Linked DNA regions of Bombyx mori. The main gene of each other region encodes a partner of the protein of the gene in region 2 in a complex. Links are inferred from orthologs where the notes say so. Each region holds a gene or a part of one and is shown on either strand. Other genes may lie near its edges.

Region 1 (3,500 bases), on a different chromosome or scaffold from region 2:
TCCGAAGCGAAGCGAGGGCGGGTCGCTAGTTATTCATAAAAATTAGAATATAAATTAAAATAAGACATGACCTAAAGGTCTTAGTTACCAGGTCATAAAATCCCTTAAAAAAAAGGAGAGTATAGAGATGTGCGGTTACCTGTCTGCGGTATGGCGGCGGGCTGCCCGAGCGTTGGAGCCTTCGCCAACACCGCGGCGGCTTCGGAGCGCTCCGCCCGGTCCACGCTGCCGCTCACTGACACGTTCATTCTGCGAACGAGATACATTCTCATGAGATACACCGCAAAACATTTGATTTTGGGAAGGATGACCTATTGAAGTGGTGGGGCGGTGCAAGGTGGCTCCTGTGCGCCGCCCACGGTATATCTCCCGAAATGACGTCCTTCGGGATTTTCCCGGAGATGAACTCCCGTCTTATCATCAGGACGGGTACCGGCGAAGGCGGACTTTCGGCGCGCACTGCGGTACCGTAGGTCTGGTGTAGCCGGTGTGGTGGAGCTCGATGGGGTTTAGTCGGTAGTCGTTCTGCGGGGCAAGTGCTTCGCGCGCCTTTTTCAAGGCGTAGTCTCTTGCGAGGAATTCGGGGACCTTCTCGTCCCCCTCTTCCTCTCAGGAGGCGCCGGAGTCCGACATAACCCGGTTCGTTACCCCCCCGGACCGAGTATCCGTAAATGGATTCCCCAGCGTTAAAAAAAAAAAAAAAAGGATGACCTATTGAAGGCCTTTCCAGTTTCACCGGGAGAAATGGGATCTGTGAATAGCTGCGAAGGAGACCTAACAGCTCGATGGCAGCTGCTTCGTGAATGCAACTACCACTGACTCAAGATCGGTAGACACCGACTTGGCTCTGCCCCTGGCATTGCTGAAGTCCATGGGCGACAGTAACCACTAACCATCAGGTGGGGCGTGTGCTCCTCTGCCTACAAGGGCAATAAAAAAAAAAATCGCGATCCGCAGCTGGCTTAAGTAGTCGTGGCCTAAAGGATCAGACGTTCGCTAACGCATTCGCATCCCGCAGGCGGATACCAATTTTTCTAATGGAATATGTACTTAACAAATGTTCGCGATTGAGTTCCACGGTGAAGAAATAACATCGTGTAATAAAAATCAAAGCCGCAAAATTATTATATAATTTGCGTAATTACTGGTGGTAGGACCGCAAGGGTAGGAACCCCCACCCTGCCTATTTCTGCCGTGAAGGAGTAATGCGTCTCGGTTTGAAGGGTGGGGTAGCCGTTGTAACTATACTGAGACCTTAGAACTTATATCTCAAGGTGGGTGGCGCATTTCCGTTATAGATATCTATGGCCTCCAGTGACTACTTAACACCATTTGGGCTGTGAGCTCGTCCACCCATCTAAGTAATAAATAAAAATAAAAAATGTTAATATACATGTATTCCGGTACCCATACCAGAACCGACAAGAGCTAATCCACACGTCCAAACAATAAAACAAATCTATTTACACGTACTTGTTTATATCGGTTGCGTCAGGAACGTTGCCGCTGATGAGACTCTTCCAAAATTCGTGAACCTGTTAAACGATTTCAAATCTATATATATATATAAAAATGAATTGCTGTTCGTTGGTCTCGCTAAAACTCGAGAACGGCTGGACCGATTTGGCTAATTTTGGTCTTGAATTATTTGTGGACGTTCAGAGAAGGTTTAAAAGGTATATAAATATGAAAATGCTCGGAATTAAATAAAAATAACAATTTTGTTTTTTCTTTGATGTGTCCCCCGTCAGACGGATTCCGTTTTGTTTGTTTTAAGTTTATTTTATACAAACGTTTAGGTCTTTTATTGATTGAGGCACTACGAAGTCTGCCCGGTCAGCTAGTTAGATATGAAAACGTATCGAAACATTTCATGACAGCGGACGATCGCATTATTCATTCGATACACTTTCAATTTCCGCCTCAAACTTCACAAGCAAAATAGATTTTTAATCGCTTTTCTCTTTGATATTAAACTCATTAATATTATCTGAACACGAGCATGTACGCGGTCGTATTCTATCAACGATGGTTAAAATCGATATTGTTAATTAAAAACGTTAATGTTTTTTTCGTGTTGTATTAAGAATTTTATAGATCCTCAATATCTAACGGTGACCGGTCGTGTAGCCGAGTTCATTAACCTAGCGAGGCTCGACATTTACAGGCTTAATATAGCACTACCCTCTTTCCGTTGCTATAGTAAAAGAAGATTTTTACTGGTGGTAGGACCTCTTGTGAGTCCGCACGGGTAGGTACCACCACCCTGCCTATTTCTGCCGTGAAGCAGTTCGGTTTAAAGGGTGGGGCAGCCGTTGCAACTATACTGAGACCTTAGAACTTATATCTCAAGGTGGGTGGCGCATTTACGTTGTAGATGTCTATGGGCTCCAGTAACCATTTAACACCAGGTGGGCTGTGCGCTCGTCCACACATCTAAGCAATAAAAAAATTTACCAGCTTGATGCGATCGATAACCAGTTTTTACTGGTGATGGGCTGTATGGATAACCCACCCGGGTTGAGACTACCATCTTGCCTATTTTTACCGCGAAGCAGTCGAAGTGGTTTCAAAGATGCGACAGCAGTTTTACTATTGAGTCTTTAACGTCATGTCGGATGGCTTCAACATAATGATGTTTTCGACTCTGGCGATTTATAAGCCGTAATCATTTTCTCCCATCTGCGTAAGCTTACGAATATAACACAATAGGCTATCACTGATTTCGATACATACCGAAACATTGCCACATTAAGTTTGAGGAGAACGTAAAACTACTCTTTGATTTAGGACATTCAAACCGGTTCGCAATCAAATTAACAAGGTCAAAATGTATCAAATGCGGTAGTGATTGGCAAAAGAGCCCTGTCGCTAGTATTGTTGTCACCAAACAAATATATCCATGCAATTTAAGCCGGTCATCGTTCTCGTCGAGCCCGTCGCTTGCGACCTAGGGCTCGACGAGTAAATTAACCCTCAGACACAGTCCACTGAGTTTTTCGCCGATCTTCTCAGTGGGTCGCGTTTCCGATCCGGCGGTAGATTCTGCGAACCACGGCTCTTGCTAGGGTTCGTGTTAGCAACGTCGTCAGGTTTGAGCCCCGTGAGCTCACCTTCTAGTTAAGGCTACGCTGATATAGCCTCTCAAGGCTCTCGGCTTAGGTAGAAAAAAACGATAAGTTTTTCAGATTTCTGCTAAATGCTGAATAAGGCCAAACGATTATCAAGTTTTATTTAAGTTACTGAGATTACGTTTCGGTGGTGCAGTAGCTGGCAGCTATGACTGTTGGGAAGAGGGTAGTGGGTTACATTCCCACATCGAGTAAAAATTCGTGTGAAGAACAGGTTTGTTTGCTATTTGTCTGGGTGTTTAGTACTTATGTAACCTCTATATAATTTACAATATAAATATTAAAGAGGTTATAATAAGTTATAAATGTGACAGACACATAAACGGTACTTTGAATATTGAAACATAAGAACTGGTGAAGCAATAGCTT
Region 2 (4,016 bases):
GAAGGGACTGCTCATATTCAGTCGTAAAAACCGATAGTCGTAACAACCGGTGATGTTTAATGTGTATCGTGCAAGTACAAACAAATCGATAGGGAATTATTGGAAAAATATATTTACATAATACGCGATTTTTCTTCAATATTAATTTGTTTTCTTTTTCTTTGCGACATTTTGAAAATGTCACGAATAACTCTACAAAGTTTTGGTGCGTCTTGTGTATAGATAAGTAACAAACTAACTGAAGAGATATGAAGAAGCGGGCTTTGACTATCGCATGCACGTGTTTTGTTTCTAAGAATTAGAAAAGACCCTACACTAAACTAAATCCTATTGTTTTCTTTCCTGATTTTAAAAGCCATTGAAGACAAATGTGGATACCTATTCAAATTGTTTACAAAACAGTTCAGCCGGTCGTTCTAACAGATCTAATTCTCCGAAATATTAGTTAAATGTGGTTGTTTTATGAGGTATGTCGTTATTACCAATATCGTATAAAGCAATATTTTTAATAAGGCGGTCATATGGCATTCAGCCGGGACCTTTGTTCTTGGTTATTATAACCGGTATGTTGTATTAAACGATGTCGCAGTAAACGGTTTTGACTGTATATATATTAAAAAGTATGTTTATTTCCATTTCTCTATGGAGTAAGAAAGGGCCAATTTTGTTTTTGTAAGTATGACAAAAAATATCAATGTTAAAGTACATGGTAAAATTTAAATTAATTCTTTTATTTCTCGTATACATAAGTAGCAATGACCAATCCCCATAATTATTTAATTTTTTTTACAAACATTTTTACAACAATATTAAATGTTTAAACCGAAACTATTCTTACATTCATAACTATACCTATGAGACCTAAGAACTCATATCTCAAGGTGGGTGCCGGCCTTTATGTTGTAGATGTCTATGGGCTACACTTAACAACAGGTGGGCTGTGAGCTCGTCCACCCAACTACGCAATAAAAAATAAAATAAAAAGTCTTAAATTTGAAAACCAAAAAAATTACCTTCACTTAACAGATCATCACGGACAGGATTGGTTATTAAAAATTGATTGCACAGAAACTGAAGAACTGTTAAACGATTTTCTACTGAAGTAAATGGATATTCACAACTGTTTAAAATTTTAATCACATTTTGATCAAAAACTTTATCACTTTCCACATAAATTCTAAGAACTTCTGGCCATGTCATGACATCTAATAAGAACAATGTAATGTTTACACTGTCTTTGTGATCTAAAGGTCCAAAATGAGTCTGTTGAGCGTCTTCTTCACGTAGCAATGCTTTAAGTAGCATCATATGTACTTCAATCAGCAAGTTACTTTGATCTTCACAGCTTATAGCAGCACAAAGATCTTCTAAGCGAAAAGGAGACAGTCTTACTAAGTGTCTGAAATGTCGCAAAACTTCATATACACTTACAACTTGAAAGACTAAATTTTGGGGTATAATTAGATCATCTGATGAAGGTGGTAAATCTAAGGGTGGAATTTGTCTTCCTTGTTGCAACCACAATGGATCAGGACTGGGAGGTCTGTTTGTTATAGTATTAGTTTTTCGCGGTGTTCCACTCGTTGTACTAAAGCTGCTCACAGAAAAATCACTATCGGTCGCCGCACCATCTTCGCTTCCTTCTGAACTTTCACTACCGCGCTCTTCTTCGAGCTCGGATTTGTCACTATACTCATCACCAAAGTCAGAACCGTAATGATATTCAGATTCATGGTAATCGGCTGCCTGTGGATTATAACCCCGTTTCGAGTAAGAATTGGATATTCCGCCTCTTTTACTTTTATGTGTTTTACGATCTTTTCGCTTTCTCGTACTTCTTCTGCTAATATCACTACCTTGAGGTGAAGAAGCTCTAGACGCCGACGGAGTGTTTATCATAGAAGTGTTCACAGCATTTTGTTGCAAATATTTTGGTTTTTTCAATAAATGAAATTGGAATTTTCTATTTTTTTCAAAACTACTAGATTTTGGGGGCCTCCCGCGTTTTTTTGCCCCCCTTCCTGACATAATTGAGCTGTCAATTGTACACTTTCCAGCACGTGCACCGTGAAAACATAGTTTTGTTTACAAAAACACAATCACGGTAATAATGCATTTCAGTTTATCCAAAGCCCAACGTTGTCATGTTCGGAGGCGTTTATGATGCTTCATGAAATGTATCACTATATGTCCGTAATTGGTTACTGTTTACAAAGTTTTTCACAATAAAATGAAATGTCAACTCATTCACTTAATGAAAATCAATTAGAGATGTACAAATTTGCCCAACACATCGAAAACGCAATGACGCGAGGGCTAGAACTAATACATGCAATTCTAAAACGCTAAACACCGACTTCCTATTGGTCGATTAACGAGACGCCATATCGTTTTCGTAATTTGTTGTAAAATGAAATTCTTGACATCTCCTAACATATAAGATAATGATTTAGACACCGATAAAACTTTAATTACTTGTAAGTCAATAAAAATCTACTTTCATTCATACAAATAATACTCGCTAATAACAGCAACTTCAAAATATAACTAAATCACTTGGTACGCGGCCATTTTCTACTTCCACGGAACAATCACTAATGTGTCTTATTATATTTTTTAATATTCAATCACCATATTTCTATGTAAGTACAATTTTTGTTAAAATTTAATTATTTATGATAGTTATTAATATTCATAATTTCTTTTCAAACAGACGTGTTAGACGCTTAAAGAATAATTTAGCCGGAAGTTTCATGTAGTTTGTCTATGATAAACATTGATTTTCATTATACCAACATTACGAATGCTTTACTTCAGGATTCTAGGCATGTCAAGCATAGCTTGTAGGACGTAATGTATACGTAATAACACAATACATAAATATAATAATAAAATGTCAGAATTCGACCAAAAATCAAACAGAAACTTAGTTTAAGTTTGAGAAACAATTCCATTCGTTGCTGATGCCAGATTCACTTTAACCCTAGGGGCTTAAAAGGGTTTCCACATAAGATGCCACAAGAAGAATTCGACATTTTAGTAAAAAAAAAGTATAGTAAAGAAGGATATGTCATTGTATTATTTTAATGTGTCGATCTGTTTTAAATAATAAAATAGGTTGCTTGAATTTTGAATCAAACGAAAAAACAATTACTGTTTACTTATTTGAATATTTCTGAGACAGCGTATTGACTTTGTCGTGCAAATCAACCGACTTGTATTTGCATGCCTGGTAGTAGTGTGTAACGTTCGATCCCTATGATGCACAATATAGGTATGCCAGAATAGGGATCTGATGTGACCCCCATAGATCAAATGTTGGGTCTTCTTCGTGTGCCGATTTTGGGAGTAGTGAGGAGACTAAAGTCACGTCTTGCGAAAAACCATCTAGACGATGAAAGGCCATACTCCCCGATTCTGTTCTGACCCATTGGGATATCCAGTGGAATGCATGTAACGCCATATAGAAGGGCTTCAACACCCCGATCCAGAGTTGTAGGCCGACACCGTATAAAATAGTCAAATTAAATGCATAACCATATTTATGAAGCAATAACTACCTATTTTTCCTATATTTTAGACTAAGAATTTTACAGTTTTACGGTTTACATACAAATTGTCAATTTCGGAATATAGTTTGAAAATTCACAGAGGTATTGTTTTGAGTTGTCCATTGATCTATGGATAAATAAAGGAAACGTAGATCATAGCTATAGTGACCATTAATTTGTATCAAAAAACAGGGCAAAAGCAAACAAATCCTATTATTACCTATAAATAAATAAAATATAAATACGTTTATAAACACAAGATCGGTTATTACAAAACAATGGTCCTATAATAGGCCCATATTCAGCCCGAACTGAGCGCTGCTTGAACTATAATACATTAATACACTTATTCATTAGCGAGCGATGTTTACACTAGTCGACTAGTCTACTCTATCGGCAAAACAGGTTGTGTTTTAGGCTAAAGCTTGGTCCAAAGGTAATGGACACATAATTTTTTTCTACACT
Region 3 (2,985 bases), on a different chromosome or scaffold from region 2:
GACATCAACGCGACGCCAAAGGAGGGGCGGGTCATCGAAGCGAAGTCCGTGTTCACCGGCCACACGGCCGTCGTCGAGGACGTCGCGTGGCACTTGCTACACGAGTCGCTCTTCGGATCCGTGGCTGACGACCAGAAACTGATGATATGGGACACCAGGTAACACCAACAACTAACTTTTTGAGGTTCTTTTTTATTGCCCCTTGTAGGCAGACGAGCATACGGCCCACCTGATGGTGAGTGGTTACTGTCGCTCACGAACGTCGGCAACGCGTGGGGCAGAGCCCAGCCACAGCCTACCATTTGAAAAGTTACAATTGTAAATATAAAACATTATAAATGAGACAAGATCAAGACATACTGATTATGTAATTGTGAATTGTACAATACTTATTAACTAAGAGACCTATTTAAGACAATCATGATAATAAAATCATTAGTTTGAATATGAAAGTGCTTTTCCTATCATGGCATGATAACACAAACAGGAGGTTGTTTTCACATATTTCTGCAGATAACTTGTATTTGGTATTGACCTTCATTACTTGTTAATAATTACCTTTAATTATTTTTTTATGATATAATGACACATTTCGTTTAAGTGTAATAATGAGGTATGCATATATGGTAGTAATAATTAGTAAAATAGAGCACAATTATGTTGTAATTACAGATGTAATAATACATCGAAACCATCTCACACAGTGGACGCACACACCGCTGAAGTTAACTGCCTCAGTTTCAATCCCTATTCAGAGTTCATTCTTGCTACTGGCAGTGCGGATAAAACGGTAATGTTACTAATTTTAATTCAAATATACACATCTAACAAGTCAAAACTTCCATAGCGTTTTGCTTATTATTTAATTGTAATATTTATATATCAATTTTTTGTAATTTAACGAAACTTGTGTTCACAAGCTTTGAATTCAATCAGCTCATGATACACTGAAAAATGAAACTACAGTTTTAATATCATAATAAACTAAATAATAAATAGCCTATCCTTAATAATAGGTTAACTACTATAACTATAAATATAATTTCCGTCTAGGTTGCGCTTTGGGATCTACGCAATTTGAAATTAAAGCTACACTCGTTCGAGTCGCACAAAGACGAAATATTCCAAGTACAATGGTCGCCACACAACGAAACTATTCTCGCGAGCAGTGGTACCGACCGAAGGTAAAATTACAGATAATTGAATTTTCAAACTTTTTGTTACATCTTGTGTACAGACAAGAACTCTCAAAATAATAGTATTAAACGGTAGGTAAAATAAAATCAACACCCATAAAAAAAACAGATATGGAATTGAAGTTGCAAAGTAAATATAAAAGCTCAGACTTCTTGTGGGCTTACAGCCACTTTTTGGGCTGATTTTAAAAATCGTAAACATGTACATCTAATTTTTACGCTTTAAATTTGGGAAAATGCACAATACTCAAGAACTGGGTTTGCTGATTGCTGTACGAGACAATAATTATTATGAAAGTTACTTCATTACTTGTTTTTTTAGACTCCATGTATGGGACTTGTCAAAGATTGGCGAGGAACAGACAGCTGAAGATGCAGAAGATGGACCCCCAGAATTATTGTTCATACATGGAGGACACACCGCTAAGATATCTGACTTCTCATGGAACCCTAATGAACCATGGGTCATCTGTTCCGTCTCTGAGGATAACATTATGCAGGTATGCTAAAATTATAGGTTGAATGTTTTTAGCTTAGATAGGCACCTTTTGGGAGAAAGCTGTCAGAAAACATTAATATTATAGTTGATCTTAATGCATAAAATATAATTGCTTTGCTAAAATATAATTTCTCCCTAGCACATAATTATTTATTGGTGTTAGAACTTCTTGTGAGTACACGTGGGTAGGCACCACCACCCTGCCTATTTCTGCCGTGAAGCAGTAATGCGTTTCGGTTTGAAGGGTGGGACAGCCGTTGTAACTATACTGAGACCTTAGAACTTGTATCTTAAAGTGGGTGACGCATTTACTTTGTAGAGCTCGTCCACATATATATGCCATAAAAAAAAAAAAAAAAACTACAAATCTAGGCTATTTGATAAATATTTCGGCACATCATCTCGGATCCTTCTAACAGTGCTTTTAGGTACCCCAAGCACCGGTCATCGTTCTTGTCGAACCCGTCGCTTGCGACTCACTGAGTTTCTCGCCGGATCTTTTCAGTCGCGGTTCAGACTTGGTGGTAGCTTCTTAGAATAGGTAGAAAAAAAATATATATTTGGTATTTGTTGTACATTGATTCGGTGCGGTATCTGTACAGGTGTGGCAGATGGCTGAGAACATCTACAACGACGAGGAGCCGGAGACGCCGGCGTCGGAGTTAGAGTCGGCCGTCAACGTCAACCACGGCTAGTCGTCCTGTCTGTACGACTCATGTGCTCTGTGGAGAGTGTGAAATAACAACATTGTTTAACATTCACTTTTTAATCGTTAATCTGTGAGATAACTCTGCTACAACCGAACAATAATGGGGTACAAGTTTTCGGAACTGTTCTTAGTTCTATAGAATTTTTATCATGTAAACGTTATACAAAACACTAAAATCTTGTTGGAAAAAATGACATTTATTAAAATGCTTTGTAAATATCATTATGAAATTTAACTAACTAATGATCTGCTATTCTAGCTAATTATCTGAGTTTTTTCGAAATATTACAAACAGCATTTTTTACTTCTAATTGAAATTACCACAAAATTTTATATTTTCAATATTTAAATGCAAAAAGTTGTCCCGTTTTTCATACTTTTCAAACTATTTGACAGTAAACAGTATATTAAACATACAAGTATAGATGTAGTGAGAAACTATTTTCCTTCGGGAAAACTCTTGATCTTTATCGGAATACGATGACACCCGAACTGTCAATGAATGATCGTATTAAATGAGTGACATTTTCATATCCATTAATAAGGAACTTTATTGTTTAGTCTCAAATGTCAAAATGACA

Evidence for each region. Proteins that work in one complex are often made in the same cells at the same time.
Region 1: nucleosome-remodeling factor subunit NURF301 (region 2) and uncharacterized protein LOC101741235 share a complex: the UniProt entries of both Drosophila melanogaster proteins name them as parts of the NURF complex. The link is inferred for Bombyx mori from reciprocal best matches to the Drosophila melanogaster genes E(bx) and Nurf-38.
Region 3: nucleosome-remodeling factor subunit NURF301 (region 2) and chromatin assembly factor 1 p55 subunit share a complex: the UniProt entries of both Drosophila melanogaster proteins name them as parts of the NURF complex. The link is inferred for Bombyx mori from reciprocal best matches to the Drosophila melanogaster genes E(bx) and Caf1-55.

What each region holds. Positions count from the first base shown.
Region 1 is NC_085115.1:3,623,170-3,626,669, forward strand, and holds part of uncharacterized protein LOC101741235, read right to left. Parts: intron 1,536-3,500; coding exon 1,474-1,535; intron 250-1,473; coding exon 140-249; intron 1-139. UniProt on the Drosophila melanogaster protein: Component of NURF (nucleosome remodeling factor), a complex which catalyzes ATP-dependent nucleosome sliding and facilitates transcription of chromatin.
Region 2 is NC_085116.1:8,932,204-8,936,219, forward strand, and holds the start of nucleosome-remodeling factor subunit NURF301, read right to left. Parts: upstream 2,801-4,016; 5' UTR 2,029-2,800; coding exon 1,014-2,028; intron 1-1,013. UniProt on the Drosophila melanogaster protein: Histone-binding component of NURF (nucleosome remodeling factor), a complex which catalyzes ATP-dependent nucleosome sliding and facilitates transcription of chromatin.
Region 3 is NC_085109.1:4,082,580-4,085,564, forward strand, and holds part of chromatin assembly factor 1 p55 subunit, read left to right. Parts: coding exon 1-158; intron 159-672; coding exon 673-790; intron 791-1,053; coding exon 1,054-1,184; intron 1,185-1,518; coding exon 1,519-1,696; intron 1,697-2,297; coding exon 2,298-2,390; 3' UTR 2,391-2,985. UniProt on the Drosophila melanogaster protein: Core histone-binding subunit that may target chromatin assembly factors, chromatin remodeling factors and histone deacetylases to their histone substrates in a manner that is regulated by nucleosomal DNA.